Cricetulus griseus: one gene and its partners. The protein of the gene in region 6 purifies or fractionates together with the protein of the main gene of each other region. This does not show direct contact. Links are inferred from orthologs where the notes say so. Each region holds a gene or a part of one and is shown on either strand. Other genes may lie near its edges.

Region 1 (4,243 bases), on a different chromosome or scaffold from region 6:
CAGAACTGCCGGCTACTTTCCTATACTGCCTGCCTTCCACCTGGCCTGCCCGCTCTGCCCCACAGCTACCAGTCCGGCAGTCAGCATCACCGAATGAACGCAGGGTGCTCACACTTCAATGGCTCACCCTACCCGTGAAAACACTCAACCCCATTCCTTTCCCTTATTCGGGATCCTAGTGTGCAGAGGGCTGACTTATCCTTAGAGCTCCCCAAATCCACTCTCCAAACCGCCCCTCTCCACACCCACTTCATGCTGGTGCTATCAAAAGTGTCCAGAGTGCTGAGATACCTCCAGTTTAACTGAAATACTAAAATGGGGCAAACAGGAAGCATCAGACACAACTGCGGTAGTGACTTATTAATCACGAAAGCAGAATTTTAGTTGCATTTTAACCTTTTGCCAGGAAGAAAAAAAGCATTGAGGTGATGGAAGCCAACAGTGGAAATGTCTGCTGCCTGCATGTGTGGCAAGCTGACCTTTCACTTAGACTGAATTTGGTTTTCAGATTCCTTCTTTCTCCCCAGAAAGAACATCTGTCAAGCCACCCAGGATGAACCTGTGAGCTCTTCCCAGAGCAGAAGCAGCTGTTGGGAGAAGTCCATGTGCTGTCCACCCAGACAGGAAAAACAAATAGGAATCCTAAAAGTGACTTCAGAGGCCAAGGCGATAACATAAAATTCTTAAGAGTGGGCAAAATGGCCTAAACAAACAAGCCTGGATTTGAACTTTTAGATACTGTACACCCCTCCAATCTCCTACCAGTCCCTAGCTAGTAATGAACCCTTTCACTCACCGGGGGAGAAAAAAAAAAAAAACTCCTAACAGTTGCCAAGGGCTAGACAACCAATCAGGGTGAGTCCTACCCTCTCTCATACAAACACTTGGAGCAAATCACAAAGGAATCAGTGTTCATCAGGAGAACCAAAATGAGGAACCAAACCTCTATCTGCCGAGGCCGAATGGCAAAACCAGACATTTTTGTTTAATAGATGAAGGTTCATTTGGCAGGGTCTCTATGGTGCCACTCCCACAAACTCTGACACCAGAAGGGGGGAAAAAACCTCAAAACTGCTCCTTCTACCTAGGAACAATCAGAAAATGATCTAAACCCTAGTACCTGTTTAATTTCATAAACTGCTGGTATATATTTCTGGGTATGTACAGCTAGGTAGTTATTTCTAAAATTAAGTCAGACATATTAACTATTATTATGAGATCTTCTGAGAAATTCACCACACTCTTCCAAATAAATCAGGATGTCTTCTTCTCTTTTTCTTTCCGGTGTTCTGAGACAGGATCTTGCTATGAAGCCCTCGATGCCTTCAAAGTCACAGTATTCCTCCTGCCTTAGCCTCCCGAGTGGTGGGATTACAAGGGTGTGCCACCCTGCCTAGCTTTCAAGATGTCTTAAAGGTGTTTGAAAAACTCAGAAAGCTGGCACTGACCCAAAGGAATTGCCTTTGACATCACTTCAGATGCAAGAGATACATCATAAGCAAGTCAAGAACTCCTCAAGCATCCTCTCATGTTAAGAGCAAAAAAAGCTACCCCACATCTTCTCAGACATACACTCACCCTCACCCCACACACCTGGTTCAAGTACTTCACTTATCAATTGAATAATACTTTATCCGTCTTACCACACCTACCACTAAAGGTGAAAGCTACTAAGCAAAACCATGCATCACTAATGTTAGGATCCTCTGATCTTTCAGAAAGACTGTGTTTCTAGCCGCAATGCCAGTGTTCCAAAGTTCACTGCTCATTCACTTTTAGAGTCCTTAATCAATTCATCAAGTTCACTGTCCCCAGTGAACAACAACAACAACAAATTGTCATCAATACACGGATTTTAAAAACTTTTCTTCAATCATCCTCTCCTTTACAACCCATCCTTTAGTGCCGAGAGCCATCTTTTAACCTCAACTGGGGGGGGGGAGACTTTTTCTGAAGTTAATGAACACGGGGGTGGGGGGGGAAGGACTTTTTCTGAAGTTAACACGGAAGAGGCTCCTAAGCAGGTGGGAATCTCTGCCTCCGACAAATGTTTTTTACTTGGTGACAGGTGGCTGCAAGTTGCTAGAGCCACGGTGAGCTTCCAAGATGGGACTAGCACATATAAACACACACCAAAAGTCCCGGGTAGAACACAGAACCACACAGAAAGGTCAGGATCACCGAAGAGGGAGGGTACTGAGGGCGACTAGCACTGCCCTGCTGAGTGCCCAGGGCAGCCTCTGCTCCTTCCCCCAGCACAAGCGACCCCAGGCACTTCACAGTGAATTCAAGGCAGCGCTTTCCTCGGCTAGGGCGGTGGAGCCGTCTCCTTCTCTTGGGGGGCACCTGAGAGCCGGGTCTGCTAGCGGGGCGGCTGAACTCGACGGCGCGGATGTTGGGGAAGGGGAAGAAGGCAGTGCCCTCGCGCGTTTCGGGCGAGCGTGTGACCCGTGGGTACGCGGCCTGGAAGCTCCGGGAGAGCACGGCGCTGCGAGCGTGGCGCTGGTGGCGCGGCGCGTGCGAGCAGCCTAGAACGCAGACACCCGGCCACCCATCCCAGGCAGCCCTCGCGGGGAGCAAGGCGCACCCCGGCCCCGATCTCAGGGGCTCCCCGTCCCCGCCCGCTCGGGCCCTCAGCGCCCCGCTCTAGATCTCCGGGCTCTGCCCAGTCACCTACCGGCTGAGCGCCGTTCTCCTCAACCAAGCGAGTGTGGCGCTTCGCTGGCCAGCGATAGCTCGGGGGCCCAGGCCGCCCCTCCCCGACCACGCCCCCATGTCTAGCCCCGCCCTAGGCCACGCCTCTCCCTGTGGCTGCGACTTTGCGAGCTTCCCGCCTCCTTTCTTTGGCCGCACTGCGACCCTTGATCCCGCCCACTCCCACAAGTAAGCCAATAAGGCGTCTCCTCCAAGTCGGCCTGCCGTCATCTCCCCAGCCGCGATTGGCTAGTGCGGCCTTTCCCAAAATGGATACTGCTTCCGGCCAGGGTTTCTAGAGGCGAGGGCTGGCTGGACGGGCGGGCAGTAGGCGGAGGAGGCCAGGGTGTTGGTGGAACCACACATGCGCTTTCGGCTTCTGGCAAATCTTTTTTACGGGTTGCATTCTTTTTGAGGTTACGGGAAGGAAGGGCGACTGTACGCATGCGTGGGCATTCCCAGCTTCGGCTTGGGTTACCTTGGAGATGGCGAGGCGCTTTCCCTCCAAGGTCTTGGATTCCACTTCCTTTCTGCTTGAGGGAGTGGCTGCTTCGTGGGGTCCTGGAGGGGCTAGAAACACTTTGTGGAGCACTTGGTGTGTGCCTGGTGCTGTGAAGTGTCTGGAGACGAGGTTACTGTGCGTGGGGAGCCTGAGGCCCACGTAGGACAGGCCTAGTGTTGAAACGCAGACGGCTTGGTACAACCTCTTTCCACCCCAGGAGAAGCTGCGCAGTGTGAGTGCTGGGCACAGGCTCCATCCTAGACTACAGCGCCAGAAAGACCTGGTCTTTGAAAACATGGTGTCTACAGTGCCCTTTTGATGGGGCCGAGAGGGAGTGTAGGGAATGTATAGATTTTTTCCCCCTTTTCTAACTTTGCTAATGAGCTTTCTACTGAACAGCAAGCCTCTATTTAGTGGTAATAAGAAGTCACTTTTTTTTTTTTTTTTTTTTTTAGAGTGTCCAGAATGAAAGATGTGTTGTGACCGTAGGGACTCTGCTGGGAATCTTAGCTGCAGCTGCAGGGACTGGATGTCGGGTGGGAGTGGGCAGCCCCATCCGAGTCTGGCTTGAAAAATAAGGAGACTCCTGTCTGGAAAGGTTTGAGCCAGAGCCAGGCCACTGTCTGCTTGTGACCGCTTTGCAGACCTAGCTTCCCTCTGGAGATGTGTCCAAGCAGACAGCTGTTGTTGGACACCAGGAAAGGCCATTCATTCATTGTGGGAATGCCACAATCTGGCCGGCATTCAGGAGGCTGAGACAGGAGGATGACAGGTTTGAGGCCTATCTGGGCTGCATAACCAGGTTTCTGTATGAAAACAAAATAAACAGCCTACAAACCGAGAGGCTCACCCACCCACCCCTGGGCTAGAAGCGTGTGAGTGCAAAGCTTGAAGTTGCTCATAGTTCTAGCCCATGCTGTCTTATGCTTGACCATGACAAGTGTTGTCCCTAGGAGCATTTCTGGCTGTGACTTCCATAGAACGTATACTTGAGAGTCAAGACAGTCTCTGGCACATATCTTGGCTTTGCCAGTGACCAGCTGAGAG
Region 2 (3,204 bases), on a different chromosome or scaffold from region 6:
TAGCCATCACTGACCATGACGGACAGCTAGGAAGGGACTTCAAGCCACCAGTGTATGAAGCAGCAGGTTGGAGTCACAGTGGCCACCAAGGTGGTAACCATGTTTCTGATCTCCCCCAGGAAGACGGTGTGGACCGGCTAGAGCACATGGAGGAGCAGCTAAAGAAGGCCACCGCCATGCTGGGGGAGGCACTTGCGAGGGAAGGCTGACCCCACTCCACTCTTCTCCTTTCCTATACTCCCTAAGGCCCAGGGCTGTTGACCTCAGAGCCCCCATTCCATCTGGCAGGGACTGGGAAGCAAGAGTGCACCTGGGAACCAAGGCCGAGAGAAGTCTGAATGGGGCAGGGGTGGAGTTCAGACGACTCAGGACCCCACCCCACCCCACCCTACCCCACCCCACCCCTCCATCCCTCTGAGTGAATAAAGCACAAAGCAAACCCCACGGCTCACACAGCTTTGGAGGAATGGGACCTGAAATAAGCAGGAAGGCACTATCAGTCTGGGCTCTGGCTTCAGGTCTGAAGCTTTATTAAATGGAAATTATATTAATATTAGAAATTAAGTCAGGCGGGGTTGGAGTCATCAGGAAGAGGTTTGGGTGCCGGGGAGGGAGGTAGCCAGTTTTGGCTCCTGCCACTGTGGACCACAATGTCGTCATATTCATCCTGGGGACAGAGAGGGATAACACAGGGGTCAGGTAGCTGCCACCTTGCCCACTGCCCAGGGCACGGCACTTAATGGGGTCTCCCTCTGACGCCTGTGTCCCCTTGCCCCTCCGATATGGTTCCCACTCAGTGCACCTCCTCTCACGCTGGAGGTCCTGGTTCTCAAGACCACCTTCCCCCATTACCCCTGTGGTCCAGCCTTACAGTGGCTCTCTCCCGTCTCCCCTCTGCCTTCACCCACCCTCAACCCTCTTCATGCTATACCAACCCCTACACAGGGGTGTGCCGTTGTCTGGGTTCTTCAGTAATGCTCCCTGCACCGCTGCCTGAGGTCTTTCTCTACCATCAGTGTTCTGGCCACTCTGACCAAGGTCACCTACCTACAGCCTAAGTTCGGCAATCCTGCTCCCAAAGTCACCTCCGATGCTCAGACCCTCCCTACCTGTGTTCGTGACCACCTCTGGAGGAAGTCTAACTTGGCTCGTCTTTGTTCTTTGGCCTTAAACTCACAGACATCCACCTGCCTCTGCCTCCTGAATACTGAGATTCAAGACTAATGGTGTGTGCCACCAGGACAGATTGCCTTAGCTCTTCAGCCACCACCGCCACCCTTGCCCAAGTCTATAAGTTTCTCCTCATCTCACGTGTCCCTTGTCTAAGTCCCTGGGAGCATCCGCCACGGTTTGCCCTGACCCCTCCCGTGGGGACGCCCACTCCTCACTCACGCCCTCATCTCTGCCGTCACTGTCACTATCGCTGCTGCTGCTGCTGCAAGGGCCGAGCTTATCATCCTCATCCTCAGGTTCAGGGGCTCCATGTGCACGGAGGAGGCGGGCAAGGATGGGATTGGGCCGGAGCAGAGCACTGCCAAGTGGGGTGCGGCCCCCATACATGCGGGCGGTAGGGTCAGCACCAGCCTTCAGAAGAAGCTCCAGTACGTTGGCTGCCTGGGCTTCTACCGCCAGGTGCAGAGGGGTCCGGCCACACGTGGGCTCCTGTGGGATATGCCAGATCAGTCAGGGAGACCAACCAAAGACGGGAGGGTGCCTTCACACACTGGCCCACCACAGTGGCTCACCGGTTTATTGAGGTCAGCTCCAGCATCCCTGAGCAGCCGGACCATCTCTGCATCTTTGTGGATGACAGCTACATGGAGTGGGGTGTGGCCTGGGGACAGAGCAACCAGTGTCAGATAAACTAAGGCGCCTCAGCTCTGTCACAACCCTAGGGAAAGGCCACGTGAGCTAAAGATACCAGGTTTGGGGGCTGGCTCCCGAATTCCAGATGCCTAAGTCTTGGGTGTCAGCATGCTGGTGGGTGTAAGCCTGAGTGGTACAGTATCTGGGATCTACAAGGGATGAGTCTGGGCACATAGTCTGTGGACCAACAGGATCAAGTCTTTGGTCTTCCTTCACAAAGAACAGGGGCTTGACGAGCATGAACAGCTCTTAAATTCCATCCCCAGCATCATAAATAAAACAAAACAAAACAAAGCACAATAACAAAAGGAGTTGCACAAAAGACCTGGGACACTGGCTACCAGATGACCTTAGTTCTTTTCCCAGGAGGCCTGACTGAGGAGGGTAAGCTCTGCACCATCTGCCCATGGCTCGGAGCATGAGATGGGTCCTCCCATCCTGGACAGGCTGGGCTAGTGGCTTATACTTGGGAACAGTTCTGGAACAAAGGCACCTTGCAGATGGGTAGCCTAGGCTCAACCACTGTATCCTGGCATTTCTGGCTCTGTGGGTGGCAGGTCTGGGCTGCAAGTAGTTTGATGACCAGATCTGGGAAAGAGAAGCCCTGTCTGTCCAATTCTTCACACTCCCAGGCTGAGTGGAGGTCCTTAGTCCCAGTGCTGGGATTCCTGGAGCCTAGGGATGATTTTGCTTTGGGGTTCTTTTTGAAACAGGGGCTCACTATGCATCTAACATGATCTCATGATGTTTCTGCTCCTGGCTTTTGTCACCCAAGTGCTGGGATCACAGCTGCACACGGCCATACCCTGAGATGGGACAGGGTCTCCTGAACCTAGATTGGCTTCAAACTACAAAGCACCAAAGACAACCTTGAACTCCTGATCCTCTTGCTTTCACTTCCCAAGGGCACCACCATGCTAGGTTATGCTGGGAATCAAACCCAGGGCTCTATGCCAGCGGCTGTGTTTCAAGTTGGGTAAGAAGAGCAGGTGGTTTGTTTCCCTGACTCTGGCCAGGGGCTCTCGTCCTTCCCAGGGCCCAGGGCCCTCACCCTCATAGTTTTCAGCTTCTAGCTGCAGCTTCCAGTCTTCATCACTCGGATCCTCTTCGATCTCTGGGTTGGGTTGAGGGTTCACAGCAACAGGGGTGGGGCCGGTGTCTGTGGTATTGTCCTGGCTCTGAGTGAGGTAGGTATCTGAGACATCCCTTGGGCGTCTGGGGCGGGGCTGGAGCAGCGCGCATGCGCACGTGTGTGCCCTCACCCGGCAGGCCAAGTGCAGAGCGGTGTGGCCCCCTCGCTCAGCCACCAACACTCCGGCGCCAGCTGCATACAACTTC
Region 3 (3,500 bases), about 2.2 Mb from region 6:
TGTTCTTATAAAAACACCCAAGCTTAGGCCTGAGTTCCTTGGTCACGTTTCTTACAGAATTAATCAAGGCCCTGGTATGCACCTTGGGGAAAAAAAGGTATAAAAGGGAATTAAATGATCCTCCTATGTGTAAAGAAAACAGATGGTTACCTAGACTACTAGATTAAGTTTGGTAGAGTGGAAATAGGTTAGAAATCTACTGCACTGAAACTGCTAACAGCTGCCTGCCAGTACAAAAAGAACTGGCTGAAAAAACTTAGTTCATCAATTATAAAAGAATAATTGGTTTGGGGTGAAGATGTTATGGTGGAAAAATTAACACAAATATACAAATTAACACAAATAAAAATGTCTAAGAAAAACATGCAACTTATGAACATAATGTAATTTCTTCCTATGTAAAGATTTTAATTTGTTTTTGGAAAATATGTAACTTGTGGTGGTGAGGTAATCTCTTGCATAGAATTTTTTGTCTTAGGATGTATAGAAGGGATTAAGAGAAAAATAAGAATAGTAGAAGAAAAACACCAGGAAAGATGTAGAAGGAAAACATCAGGGTAAACGAACAGAACAGAAAAAGAACAGAGTAGAAACAACAGCAGAGAGAGAACTGAAAAGAAGAATTAAACTTTGGCCCTTAGAAAAAAGACTCCTGTGTGTGTACAGCTCTGCTGACACCAACCTCCTTTCCAGTTTCTCTGACCTATTGGAAGCTGGTCTTTCAGCAGCAAAGTATACAGACATGAGGCAAGTGGGAGCCTTCCTCACCAAGCCAAAACCAGTACAATTAAATCTAAATGAGGGAAGGGGTAATGACACCAATCAATGTCCTAAAAGGAAATCCCAAAAGACACTTTAAAAGGCTCCTCAGACCATCTGAAGACACCTGAAATCCTGGCTAAAGAAATAAAGGATCCACTCTAAGTATATAATATTCATTTTTAAAATGGATACCAGGAAAAGATCACTAATATAAATTTATACTCATTTTCAACTTGCTAAGGTCAATGCAGGTATTCTAAAATGCACCCCATTAAAACTGACCTTTAAGTTGAGAATATGATCCATTAATACAAAACATCTTGGCTGCTTCAAAGTAAGATCAATAGGCCCCCCTCTCTGCTGTGGGTCCCAATTCAGCATCAATTGTAGCCAGCTTTCCATGGGCTCTACTATTAAACTGAAAAATGAACAAAAACTGTGTGAATATCATTATGTTCCAATTAAACAGGCAACATCACAGGTCATCCATTTCCTTGCCTATGACTTAACAGTACCATTTATATCTTACTTTCAAATAATTCATGAATGAAAATAAACAAGCCCCCCCCAAATAAAACCAACTCTAAATCCCCATATCACTTTGTAACTGGCAAATCCAAAAGAAGAGTCCAACTCCAATCTTCAAAAAAGCCATTTACTTCTTTATTCCTTGGGCTTTCTTAGCATCTAAGGCAATCCATTGATTGGTAATAGTTATCAGTTCAACAATGTCTGTGTTATCCCATAGGATAATCACTAATCACGGTGTTTTTTATAATTACTACTCATTTAAAATTCAGTTCCTCAGTCACACTAACCATACTCCTCTGCCAACCTAGGCAGTGCTGAGCAGCAAAGCCAGCAAGCAGGCTAAGCAAACACTGTCCCACTGAGCCGTATCTCCACCCCTTACTACTTTTCACATGCTCAATAAGCCTCTTGTGACAGAAGACAATGCTTTCATCCTCATGGGAGGGACTACTGGATAATGCTACTTTGAAACACATAACTATTCTCAAAAGTGCGTGACCTCCCACACTTACCTACAAAGGTTGTTTGGTTGAGGTAAATGGCTACTAAACCGAACTTCTCCGGTCATCTCTTCACATGCAAATATACACTTTGGATCTTTCTTCTTAATCTTCTCATGCCTATAAAACCAAGATACCTTAGTTGACAACGTGATTCTCACAAATACTCTGAAGGTCTCTTGCATTGAATTTCATTCAATTCTGTGTTAAAAGACAATTTCACCACTATAGAAAGAGAAAAGGAAACAACTGAAATTTTTCTATTACTATTGATTATGCCAAAGTTCTCATCATTTCTTACCAGGTAAATGGCTGCAGATGATGCAAAAAAGGCCTATATCCGGCAATACATTCAAACACCATGGTCCCAAAGCTCCAATAATCCACAGTGGCTGTGTACGGCTTATTTTCAAAGAGCTCTGGGGCCTTAAAATAGAAAGTACTTTAAGTTCCAACACTGTAAGAAAAGAGCTACTATTGTTTTGAACCACTATATTCATTGCCTTAAGAAAAAACAATGAGAATTTTAAGTAATCAAATTAAAGAAATGTCTCACCAAATACTGTAATGTTCCCACAAAAGATGTACAGAGACTTCCTTGATCAACATCTTTGGCATAACCCAAATCAATTATTTTATGCATTATCTGTGAATATTAAGACATAACATATATTAAATTGTTGAAAGATTTGCAAAAGAAAGGTAGATTGGGAGTGTAGCTTAGTAACAAATTACTCCCATTGCATGTATAGGGTCGGTTCAATCCTAAGCACAGCAAAAAACAAAAAGATAGGCCATTGAAATGGCTCAGCTGATAAAGGTATCTGTCACCAAGCCTGATGACCTAAATTTGATCCCCAGGATCCACATACGAGAAGAAGAATCAACCCCTGTTGTATGCTGACTCTGCCCCCTGACAATGGGTGGGACACGGATATCGGCATTCAGGCAGATACTTAAACAGCTCAAAAGGGTCCTGTGTTGCACGGCCATGTCAGGCATTATGGGCTGTGTAAGGACTCAGCACGCATGTGCAAGCCTCCCCTTTTAAGTTTGTACCTCCATATTCTTTTTCTCTCTCTTTGCTTGCTCTCTCCCTTGATCTCTCTCTCTCTCTGTTTCCGGTGGTTGACCATTAATTCTTCTCTCTTATTCTTCCCTTTCTCTCTTACTCTCTACTCTTCTCTTGCTCTTACCTTCCTTTCCCTCTCTTCTCTTACACTATCTCTTTCTCTTCTGTCTCCTCTCTCTCACCCTGTCTCTCCCCTCTCGCTCTCCCGCCCTGCAATAAACTGGTTAATGTACTCTATCGTTCGTGTTCCATCATGTAAGTTCCATCTCCAGCCCTTTCTAATTTTTAAACTTAAACAGAAGAACAACCCCTGCCAAGTTGTCCCATGACCTGCACACAGGTCACAGCACAGAGATGCACTCATACATGCAAAATAAATAAATAAATGTAATTTTAAGAAGACAATAGTGTTTTTATAACACTGGAGAGGAGATGGTAAAGAATCTGAGCTGTAAACAACACAAAAGTGTGAACTCTGATAGCCTGATCGCTATTTAACTAGCTGGTGTTAATCTATTTTGTTAATCTTTTTATTGTTGTTGTTAATTTTTGAGACTAGGTCTCCACTGTAACCCAAGATGGTATCAAATTACAGCAACCCTCCTGCCATTGCTGGGATTATAGATGTCAGGTAA
Region 4 (2,495 bases), on a different chromosome or scaffold from region 6:
TGAGATTATTAGAGATATATGTCTTTCCAGACTCTGTAATGGCAAAATAAGAATGTAAGGGCGGACAGACACAAACATGGACATACATACATACACTTTCCCTCCCAAAACCTTGTTTTAGTTTGCTAGAATTTCATCAAAGGCAGCATGAGAATTTTGGTTTTTGAAAACAGGGGTTGGATACTGTCATTACACTGGTTATTCTGGGGCACAACCTAACCAGCTTGAGCTGTAGCTCTCAGGCCCACCTTTGAGGTGCTGAAGGTACCAGACGCCATGTTTATAGACCGAATGCAAAGATGAAAGTAAGTACAGTGCAGTGGCATCCTTGCCACTGCAGGTGACATCCACAGTACCTCGCCCTTGGTTGAGCTTGGTAGCACTGATTTCTATGTTACAATGAAGGGAATGCTAAGAAACCAAAACCCAATTATTTAAAACATTAGACACAAACACTCTATAATGAAACAGTATTATCCAAGTGAAAGAAACAGGCATAATAACATGAAAAAACACATTTTATTGCACTTAAGTTATAAGAAAATAAAATTTCTAAGTGAATCAAACCATAGACACAATCCCTTTAAAGGTTGTTTTCCTCCATCATGTCAGGTTGTTACATAACTAAAATTAACCAACTTGAATCTGATTGTTTTAAATCAGACTATAAATAAAACAAACAAAAAAATAAACAGGAGGAGGAAAAAAAAAGACTGACTAGGATACAGTGTTAACCACTTTCACAGTTCAGCTTGAGTTACGGCTCCTGGTGAATGAGGCGGACCATCTGACTCCCGTTCATCGCGCTGGTTTGCGGGTGACACCGTCACTACAGAGCGATGCTCCTCTCACGTCAGTTACTCAGAGCAATGAAACTGTAACAGTTGTTTTCCCAAATACTGTAAGATGCTACGACTGACCAGCAACTTCCTTTTATTCTGTATTTTATATATATCTTTAAAATATCTTGTCAGTTTTACTATATACGTTCATCCATTCACCACAGCCCTCAAAAAGAAGTTTCTCCACAGAACAGGCACCTCAGGCTCTGTCCCAAGGAATGTGTTTTAATTTTTGCCCAGATAAAAGAAAATAAGCTTTGCACACACTCTCGATTCTTATTTGCAGGCAAACTTCACTCTTTATTATCTGAAACTTTTCCATTCTCAGCCTCTTAGAGGCACAGATGGCTCAAGTTTCAGTGGCAAAAGTCTTTTTTTCTGTAACCAAACTAGAGCAAATTTGGAATTCAGTCTGGGACTAAAACGTCACAGCAGAAAAAAAATAAAAAAAAATAATTTGCTTTTTCTTTCTTTCATTTAGCAGCATAAATAAGTTTGGCCACTGGGAGTACAGTACAGGGGTGGGACAACGATCCCATTTTTGAAGACCTACTTCTAGCACCAGCATCAAGAATTAAATCCATCTCAGGACTCACAGAACCCAGGACAACTTGCCACCTTTGAGCAATGTATGCATTGAAGAGTGTATATGGAAGCAACAGTAAATAGATTAACAGAGGCTAATACTGTGATTGATTGACATTGGCAATGGTTGGCAAAAAAAAAAAAAAAAAAAAAAAGAAAAAGAAAAAAAAAAAAAAGAAAGCTTCATGATAACTGTACAAAAATAATTCACAGTAATTTCTTTAAGCTTTTCCACTTCAGAAAAATGACTTTTTGTTGCAGATGCTCTCTGATTAGAAGATCAATCAGCACATGTTTGGATATTATTGCCACTCCTTTCTAGGTGACGGTCACAACATCTTGGTGTAGCTCTGCCCAATGACCACTGGAGAAGAAAATAAAAAATAATTGCACCTGGTTGGATTTAGAAAGTCTCCTTTTGCAAAGCTGCCCCTCAGTCAGAAGTGAAGCCTTTAGGTGATGCGACAGCTGCCGCCTCCTGTCAGTTGCGGTTTCTTGTCTCTTCTTTGATCCTTCTTACCTTCTTAGTCTGTAGGTCTTTTCAATCTGTTGCCCCAAGCCAACATCCTGCACCACTGAGTACAAGGGATTTTTTTCCTTTTCTTTTTTTCTCTTTTTTTTCTGTTTTTTTTTTCTTTTCTGTTTTTTTTTTTTTCCTTTTCAATTTTTATTTTTGCGCAGGGGGGGCAGGGAGTATATTGTCTACACAGTTGGACAAAATTCATCTTGTTTGCTCTTCATTTCATGTCCACATCGAAGTCCAGCACCAACAGCTTGGTTTCTTCAGTGCCATTCCTACTCCCAACTGCACATACCAGCTTGGTGTTAGAGGCTCTGATCCGCCACACAACTCCCCCGCTTCCCCCACTCTCCAATGTTACTAGGTTTCGAATAAATTCACCCGTTTTCAAGTCCCAGAGTTTTACAGTTCCATCATCTGAGCTGGTAATTACAAAGTTCTTGTTGAACTGTAAACAGGTCACAGCACTCTGATGCTTGTTGGGACCTAGGCAAAAGCACAGGGACTTAATTACTAGTTAGAAACGGTGGTCAGGGGCTTGTGCACAG
Region 5 (3,964 bases), on a different chromosome or scaffold from region 6:
AAATAAAACTCTTGTTTTATACAAATATACAAGTCCATGTTCTTTTTGACACTTTCCACTCATAATGTCAGACGTTGGCCTCCAAATACACAGTCATCATAGGGCAGCTAAAACAAGAGGGGAAAAAAAAAAGGCATATTAAATTCCTAGAACTTTGCCAAGACATTGGGATGAGGGGAGGGGACTGCTTCTGCAAATAACTCACAATCTTGGACTCTTTCCTCCTTAACCCAAATAGAATGAATCCCCCATGCTGTCGGAGTTTTCCTTCATTGATTCTCTCCCTTAAAAACAATCTAAGCTACGGCAGGAGGTGTAGTTCAATGGCAGAACACATGCCTGTTACCACGTGTTAAGGCCTGGGTTCAAACTCCAGAACCTCCCTTCACCTCCAAGGGTTAAAACAAATCAGAGAGACAAGTTCTTGGGATACTGGTTTTGCAAGCTGCGTTTCGTTAAATAATTATGTTGAGATCCCTATAATAAAGACTAGTTCTGCTCTAGGGACGGGAGAGGGGTGAGGGAGAATGGACCATTCTGGTAGTGACGAACACTCACCTCATCCTCCGTGAATTCTGACTCTGTGTCGTAGCTCTCCTCATCCTCACTCTCGGGCAGCATCTGAAGATTTTCCCGGGTCAGCTGGCCCAGCTGCTGCTGTATCCGGGTACTTGGTCGGCCCCAGGTGAGCTGATAGGGGGAGTAGCCTTGGTAGGTCACTCTATTGACGTCAGCACCACACTTCAACAGGAGCGACACCAGTTCAGGGTTCTGCAGGTCCACTGCCAGGTGGAGGGCTGTCCGGCCATTGCAGGGCTCCTGAAACCAAAGCAATCAGACATGTTTAAGGCCACATCTGGAAATCCACTTGCAGTAAGAACAAGTCTGGAAGAGTTCAGGAGGAACCTGACTGGCTCCAACTAGAAGGGAACTGCACTCACCTGGGCATTGACATCGGCACCCAAAGACACCAAATGCTCCACGATGCCCAGGTAGCCATGGATGGAGGCGAGGTGCAGACACGTGTGGCCTAGAGGAATAAGAGACAAAAAATATAACTACTTGTTTCAATTGTCACACAACTCGTGCCCTATTTTCTTATGGGACAACCACAAATATCCTCAATTCTTAAGAACTCAGAATTTGAGTTTTGACTGAACATTATTATAAGGACATCAAGAAGGGATTTTTTTTAAAGTCCATATTGTCTGAACGTTTTATGTTGAGAGTTTAGGCTCTAGCCTAGACTCAAGTGGGCCCACCTCTCCCTTCTCTGTGTCCTGGGATGGACTGATAGACCTACCATTGTAGTTGGTGGCCTGCAGGATGGAGTGGAGATGCTGAGGTGTGCACGTCTGTGTCAGGACTCCTACACTGGCCAGGCAGCCCTGCTCACAGGCAAGATGTAGAGGGGTATTTCCTCGAAAGTCTCGGAGCTCAGGATCACAGCCAGCTTCCAAAAGTGCCTCAGCAATTCCTGGCTGGTTGGTGATCACAGCCAAGTGAAGTGGAGTCTACAAACGGAAGAGGAAACAGAACGGGGATAAGTCATGGAGCAAATCCATAGTCTTGAGTTTCCTGAACCCCAGACAACTCCTTGTGAATTCTGCTCCTCCCTGATGGCTACAGGGGACCAGGCAAACATGAAGCCCCAGTTGGGTCGTAAAGACCTCACCAAACCCCTGGGATTTTCTTCAAGCTCTAAGATGTTGGCTAATTTGAATGTAAAAGGCCAGGGCAGATAAGGGCTCAGTGACTATTAATTTAGAAACACTTTGGGGGCGACTGAGCTAACATCCAACTCCACCACCAGGTCAAAGAGGGCACGGCTGGGGCAGCGCGCACCTGCTGCAGGTTGTTCTGGAAGTTGAGGAAGGCCAGGTCTCCCTTCACCTGCCGAATCACTTCCATGGTCAGAGTCTTCTCTTCATGGATGATTGCCAAGTGCAGGAACCTGAGGGATGACAGGGAAAGCCCCCGAGGGGCGGTGAGCGCACTGCGTGGGGGCCCCCAAGAGGCGCGGGCTGCGGGGGATTGCGCAAGGCCGGGGTTTCTGGAGGCCGCGGCCGCGGTGTTTTCCGCGAGGTTATTATGAGCTGAGTGTTCCTGGCAGGGGCCCAGGGACTTTCCGTGCCCCACCCCCTCCGGGCGGGCGCCGGCCAGACCGGCCCGCCCTCCGCCGCCCGGAACGCCCTGTACTTCCCCTCGCGGCCGCGCGGCGCCCGGCGGCTGCGCGCACAACTGCCAGGCCGGGACTTGGCGTCCCCGCGGCCGCCCCGCCCCGCCCCCGGCCTGCGCTCGGCTACGCCGGGTCCCTGGCAGGGGAGGAGAAGGGGGATGGGATGGGGAGGCAGGCGACCTGGGCGCTCGCCATCCCCGGGAGCCCCGTCGTGCTCCCTCCGTGCAGAGCCCCGAGCGCGCTGCAGGTCCCCACCGCACCCCACCCCAGGCCTCCCGCGCGCGACCCCGCCGCCCGTGCCCGCCGCCACTTACGAGTCTCCGTCCTCCGTGAGCTGCTGCTTCCAGGGCTCGGCGGCCAGCGGCGCCTCCTGCGGCTGCAGGCGGATCTCCTGCAGCTCCTTCACCATCTGCTCGTACTCCTCGTCCTTCATGGAGTCCAGGCCGCTGTCGTGGCGATCGTCCACCAGCCGCTCCTTCTTGAGAGCGTCCCGCGGGCCCTCCATGGCCCAGTCCTGGCCGTGGCCGGCTGGCTGAAACATGGCTGCGCGGGGCTGCGTGCGGGGCTGCGAGCTGCAAGCTGCTGGCGGCTGGGCGGCGAGTTGCGACTGTTGTGGGCTCGCCAGCGCCGCCGCGCCGCCCTATAAACGCTGGCAGGGGATTTCTCAGGGGCGGGGTCAGGCTCGGGGAATTTCCAAGCCAGTCAGACTAGAAAAAGAACTGGCTCGTCCTCGACTGAGAAGCCTAAACCCAGGGCCGGGGTTCATTGGAGAAACTCCCTGCGATGAGCCACTGGGGTCATGCACAGGGAACTTTTTGATGAGCCCTGAGTGGCTGGAAAGTCCTCCGGACCAGGCCCCCTCCCTCTAGGTACTTCCCTGCAGCCTGCACTCAGTAACCCCAGGCCTCTGCAAGAACCCTGCTTTCCCTGGGGTTTCCCACCGTTGTCGATTGGATGTGGGGTCCTCAGCTGTTGAGATCCCAAGGACGCAGACCCGCTGGGCGGTTCCTCTTAGCGATTTGCCAATTTGCAGGTCCTTTCCGGTTTTTGATCTTTTGAAAACCCACGAGTGGAAATGCTGGCTGACTGCAGGGATTCGCTTCTCATAAATTTCTTCGAGGAAGGAGACATGAGTGTCACTAGGCCGTCTGTGTTTTGCCCATTCCAGGCTCTAGGCACTGCAGGGACATTTGGCCGTCCCTCACCCCCACCCCATGAAGCTGGGAAGCTTTGACATTAAAAACACCCAAGCGCTTGGAGAACCCCTAGAATATTAAATAGGGTTCGATAATCTTGTCTCCTGGGGGAGGGCGAACTCTAGCTATGTATGGAAAAAGTGTTAAATAGAAACCACATTTTTTTTTTTAAAAAAAGTAGAGCAAGGTGTAGTAGTGTTTGCAGTAGAAGTTGTAGCTTCCTAGCAACAGTAACTGTTGAGTTCTTGTGTCAGATTTACCACTTGCTGCAGAGAATGGAGTCTGAGTTTATGGTGAGTGCCTAGCGGAGCAACTGGCTTAGTACTTTAGCCAAGGCTGGCCCTTAATTATAGCTAAGAAAGTAGCTGCAAGGCATCCTGTAGGATGCTCAAGGCAGTCCTCACATTGACCACATCTGAACCCTGCTGGCTCTTCCAGGGTCCTTGCTCCCCAGGGAAGGCAGCATTGTGGGTAGCTACTCCCCAGAGAAAGGGATTTGGTCCTGTGATGCACTAGTTTTACCTGCAGAAATAGAATATCTGCTTTCACCCCTTCTCCACTTAGGAGCCTGCAATCTGTCAACTCCCTC
Region 6 (2,314 bases):
GTCCTAGAGATACAGCACACTCAACCTGTGGCTGTGACCCCCAAGGTGGCCTCTGAACAAACCATGACCAGGTAACCCTACTGAAGTCTACTAATCATATACCCTTCTTGTCTCAGGACTGGAGGAGGTGGGAAACTTACCTGCAAAATCAGGCATGTGCAATATTTGGGGCACAGCATGGGCCCCACTATGCAACAGCACCTGCAACAGGCCTAGGGCTTCAGCACCTGCCCGCAGAGCCAGGTGCACAGCCGAGTCTCCATGTCGATCCAGCAGTGTGGGGTCTGCACCCACCTGCAGCAGGAAGCTCACCACCCTTGTCTGCCCAGTGATTACTGCTAGGTGCAGAGGTGTCTGGGGAGGGAGGAAGGCAGAGCGAGCCAAGCCCACCACAGCTTAGGATTCCCTGTCTTCAACCACTACCCCTCGCCCCTTCCCAGAGGCTTCCCATACCTGGTGCAGGTGGTTAGTGAGGTTGATGACCCCAAGGTACTGGGCATGACAGATGACATGGGCTATCTGCTCAATGACTCCAGTCTGCCCATGGATAATGGCCAGGTGCAGTGGCCTGGGGGTTGGAGAGGGAGACCTTGACTGGGAAACCAAAGCCACCCAAAGCATCATCTGCCCTCAAAACCTTCATGGTCACCTTCACTGGTGACCCTGGATGTTACCATCTTTATCCTTTGTCACACCTTGCTACTGTGCCCCTTTCACAGCTAACAAAATTGAAGGTTGGGGAGAGCAAATTTCTTGAACACAACTAGAAAATAACGAGGACCAGATCTGTCTGACTCTAGGGTTCGGCTCTTTGCCGTTTTCTCTACTGCCCCAACCTTTAGACCTGGTGGTACCAGGTGACCCCCTGGATGTCCCTAGGCTGCTGGCCCTCGGGCCGCTTACGTGTCTCCGTTCTCATCCTGGGCCGTCAGCAGGTGGCGCTGTCCCGCCAGCAGAGCGCGCGCGTCGGCGGTGACGCCGTAGTCCAGCAACGCTCGGGCGCTGCGCTGCGCCAGACCGAACAGGCGCGCGTTGTACTCGCGAGCTGGAGGCGACAGGGCGCGTGGGTGCGGGCCAGGTCCCCAGCCCGGCGCGCGCCCGCCTGCCAGCGTTCCTCAGACCTACCTCGCTGCAGCGCGTCTAGGGCCGGCGGCTCGCCCTGGGGGACCTCGGGGGCCGCGCTCGGATCTTTCGGATCTTTGGCCACCTCCCCGGCATCCACGCCCCGCCCTGAGCCGGCCATCTGCGCTCCGCCCCCGCCACCCTGGTAGCAGCCCATTGGGGCCGCGCCGGACTGGTAGGGGCTGTAGGTCAAGGAGGGGAAAAAGCCGAGGCTGCCACCTGTGGGCATGGGCAAGGCTGTGAGGTGCCAGCCAGGACTCTCCCAGACTTCTCTTCTAACTTCCCCTCACCTCCGCCACCCCTCTCCCGGCCACTGGGCCCGCTCACCTCCTCCAGCGCCTCCATAACCCCCAGCAGAGCCCCCAGAACCCCCACCCATGTGGGATCCGCCCCCGAAGGGTTGGGAGAAGGTGGGCAAGGCCTTCCTCCGCTTCCGCTGCACTTCCTCCTTGTCTAGCGGGAACAAGAAACTGGGAGTTAAAATCCAATACACCGGTAGTCTTCAAGCCCGGCAACCTGCAGCCACCTCCAGGGCGCCAACGAGGCCACCATGCTCCCTCCAGCCCCTGGGAACCTGAAGCCCGGCCCCACCTTCCACCAGAGGGTAATAGGTGAACTGTTTGGAGTCGGAGACGTCCCCCCCACGCTTGCGTTTCAGCTGCAGGAACACCGTCACAGGTCTCTCTATCTTCATCTTGTGATACGGCGGTGTCCGGAACACAATGGCATACTGGGGTGGAGGGTGGGAGACAGACCTTTGGTGTCAGTGAGATCTCTGCCTGGGTCTGCCTCCAGGTCAAGCCCTGGCCCCTCAGTACCTGTTTATGAACGTCTGTAGGAGAGAAGTCCCCAAAGGCTTGCCACCCATTCTCGTCATCCTCATAGAACCGAACCTCAATGTCATCTACCGAGAAAAGTGAAGCTTAGCCATAGGGAGAATCTGCAGGTCCAGTGCATTCATTCTGAAGTTGCCCCGTCCCTCGCCCCGCCCCGCCCCCCCAACAACCAGTGTTTTTAATTCTCAGGCCTCCTGCCTCACCTTTCTGCACCTTATCACAAAGCAAATAAACTTCATCACCACCACGCACAGAACCTGCTGTTTTGTCCATTCGGGAAATCTTCAGGTTTGAGGCCCCTGGAGACTCTAGGATGGGAGATAGGTTAGGGCCACGTTGGCTTTGTGGTCATATCT

What was found.
Region 1: the proteins of Nfkb2 (region 6) and Map3k14 purify together in Homo sapiens (affinity purification with mass spectrometry; 6 studies listed by BioGRID and IntAct, with this or other methods). This does not show direct contact. The link is inferred for Cricetulus griseus from reciprocal best matches to the Homo sapiens genes NFKB2 and MAP3K14.
Region 2: the proteins of Nfkb2 (region 6) and Nfkbib purify together in Homo sapiens (affinity purification with mass spectrometry; 4 studies listed by BioGRID and IntAct, counting the BioPlex papers as one, with this or other methods). This does not show direct contact. The link is inferred for Cricetulus griseus from reciprocal best matches to the Homo sapiens genes NFKB2 and NFKBIB.
Region 3: the proteins of Nfkb2 (region 6) and Chuk purify together in Homo sapiens (affinity purification with western blotting; 4 studies listed by BioGRID and IntAct, with this or other methods). This does not show direct contact. The link is inferred for Cricetulus griseus from reciprocal best matches to the Homo sapiens genes NFKB2 and CHUK.
Region 4: the proteins of Nfkb2 (region 6) and Fbxw7 purify together in Homo sapiens (affinity purification with mass spectrometry; 7 studies listed by BioGRID and IntAct, with this or other methods). This does not show direct contact. The link is inferred for Cricetulus griseus from reciprocal best matches to the Homo sapiens genes NFKB2 and FBXW7.
Region 5: the proteins of Nfkb2 (region 6) and Nfkbia purify together in Homo sapiens (affinity purification with mass spectrometry; 6 studies listed by BioGRID and IntAct, counting the BioPlex papers as one, with this or other methods). This does not show direct contact. The link is inferred for Cricetulus griseus from reciprocal best matches to the Homo sapiens genes NFKB2 and NFKBIA.

The regions. Positions count from the first base shown.
Region 1 is NC_048600.1:114,875,100-114,879,342, reverse strand, and holds the start of Map3k14 (mitogen-activated protein kinase kinase kinase 14), read right to left. Parts: upstream 2,801-4,243; 5' UTR 2,678-2,800; intron 1-2,677.
Region 2 is NC_048602.1:7,108,310-7,111,513, reverse strand, and holds the end of Nfkbib (NF-kappa-B inhibitor beta), read right to left. Parts: coding exon 2,918-3,204; intron 1,835-2,917; coding exon 1,746-1,834; intron 1,663-1,745; coding exon 1,393-1,662; intron 668-1,392; coding exon 566-667; 3' UTR 501-565; downstream 1-500. Other genes in the region: Ccer2 (coiled-coil domain-containing glutamate-rich protein 2), read left to right, coding at 120-209. UniProt on the Homo sapiens protein: Inhibits NF-kappa-B by complexing with and trapping it in the cytoplasm.
Region 3 is NC_048596.1:17,455,241-17,458,740, reverse strand, and holds part of Chuk (inhibitor of nuclear factor kappa-B kinase subunit alpha), read right to left. Parts: intron 2,440-3,500; coding exon 2,350-2,439; intron 2,220-2,349; coding exon 2,095-2,219; intron 1,914-2,094; coding exon 1,806-1,913; intron 1,181-1,805; coding exon 1,045-1,180; intron 1-1,044.
Region 4 is NW_023276806.1:69,434,700-69,437,194, forward strand, and holds the end of Fbxw7 (F-box/WD repeat-containing protein 7), read right to left. Parts: intron 2,434-2,495; coding exon 2,165-2,433; 3' UTR 501-2,164; downstream 1-500. UniProt on the Homo sapiens protein: Substrate recognition component of a SCF (SKP1-CUL1-F-box protein) E3 ubiquitin-protein ligase complex which mediates the ubiquitination and subsequent proteasomal degradation of target proteins.
Region 5 is NC_048598.1:146,913,795-146,917,758, reverse strand, and holds the start of Nfkbia (NF-kappa-B inhibitor alpha), read right to left. Parts: upstream 2,801-3,964; 5' UTR 2,721-2,800; coding exon 2,494-2,720; intron 1,955-2,493; coding exon 1,846-1,954; intron 1,515-1,845; coding exon 1,304-1,514; intron 1,031-1,303; coding exon 942-1,030; intron 820-941; coding exon 559-819; intron 108-558; coding exon 60-107; 3' UTR 1-59. UniProt on the Homo sapiens protein: Inhibits the activity of dimeric NF-kappa-B/REL complexes by trapping REL (RELA/p65 and NFKB1/p50) dimers in the cytoplasm by masking their nuclear localization signals.
Region 6 is NC_048596.1:15,285,017-15,287,330, forward strand, and holds part of Nfkb2 (nuclear factor NF-kappa-B p100 subunit), read right to left. Parts: intron 2,267-2,314; coding exon 2,162-2,266; intron 2,027-2,161; coding exon 1,941-2,026; intron 1,853-1,940; coding exon 1,714-1,852; intron 1,576-1,713; coding exon 1,450-1,575; intron 1,342-1,449; coding exon 1,126-1,341; intron 1,046-1,125; coding exon 904-1,045; intron 569-903; coding exon 454-568; intron 355-453; coding exon 141-354; intron 4-140; coding exon 1-3. UniProt on the Homo sapiens protein: NF-kappa-B is a pleiotropic transcription factor present in almost all cell types and is the endpoint of a series of signal transduction events that are initiated by a vast array of stimuli related to many biological processes such as inflammation, immunity, differentiation, cell growth, tumorigenesis and apoptosis.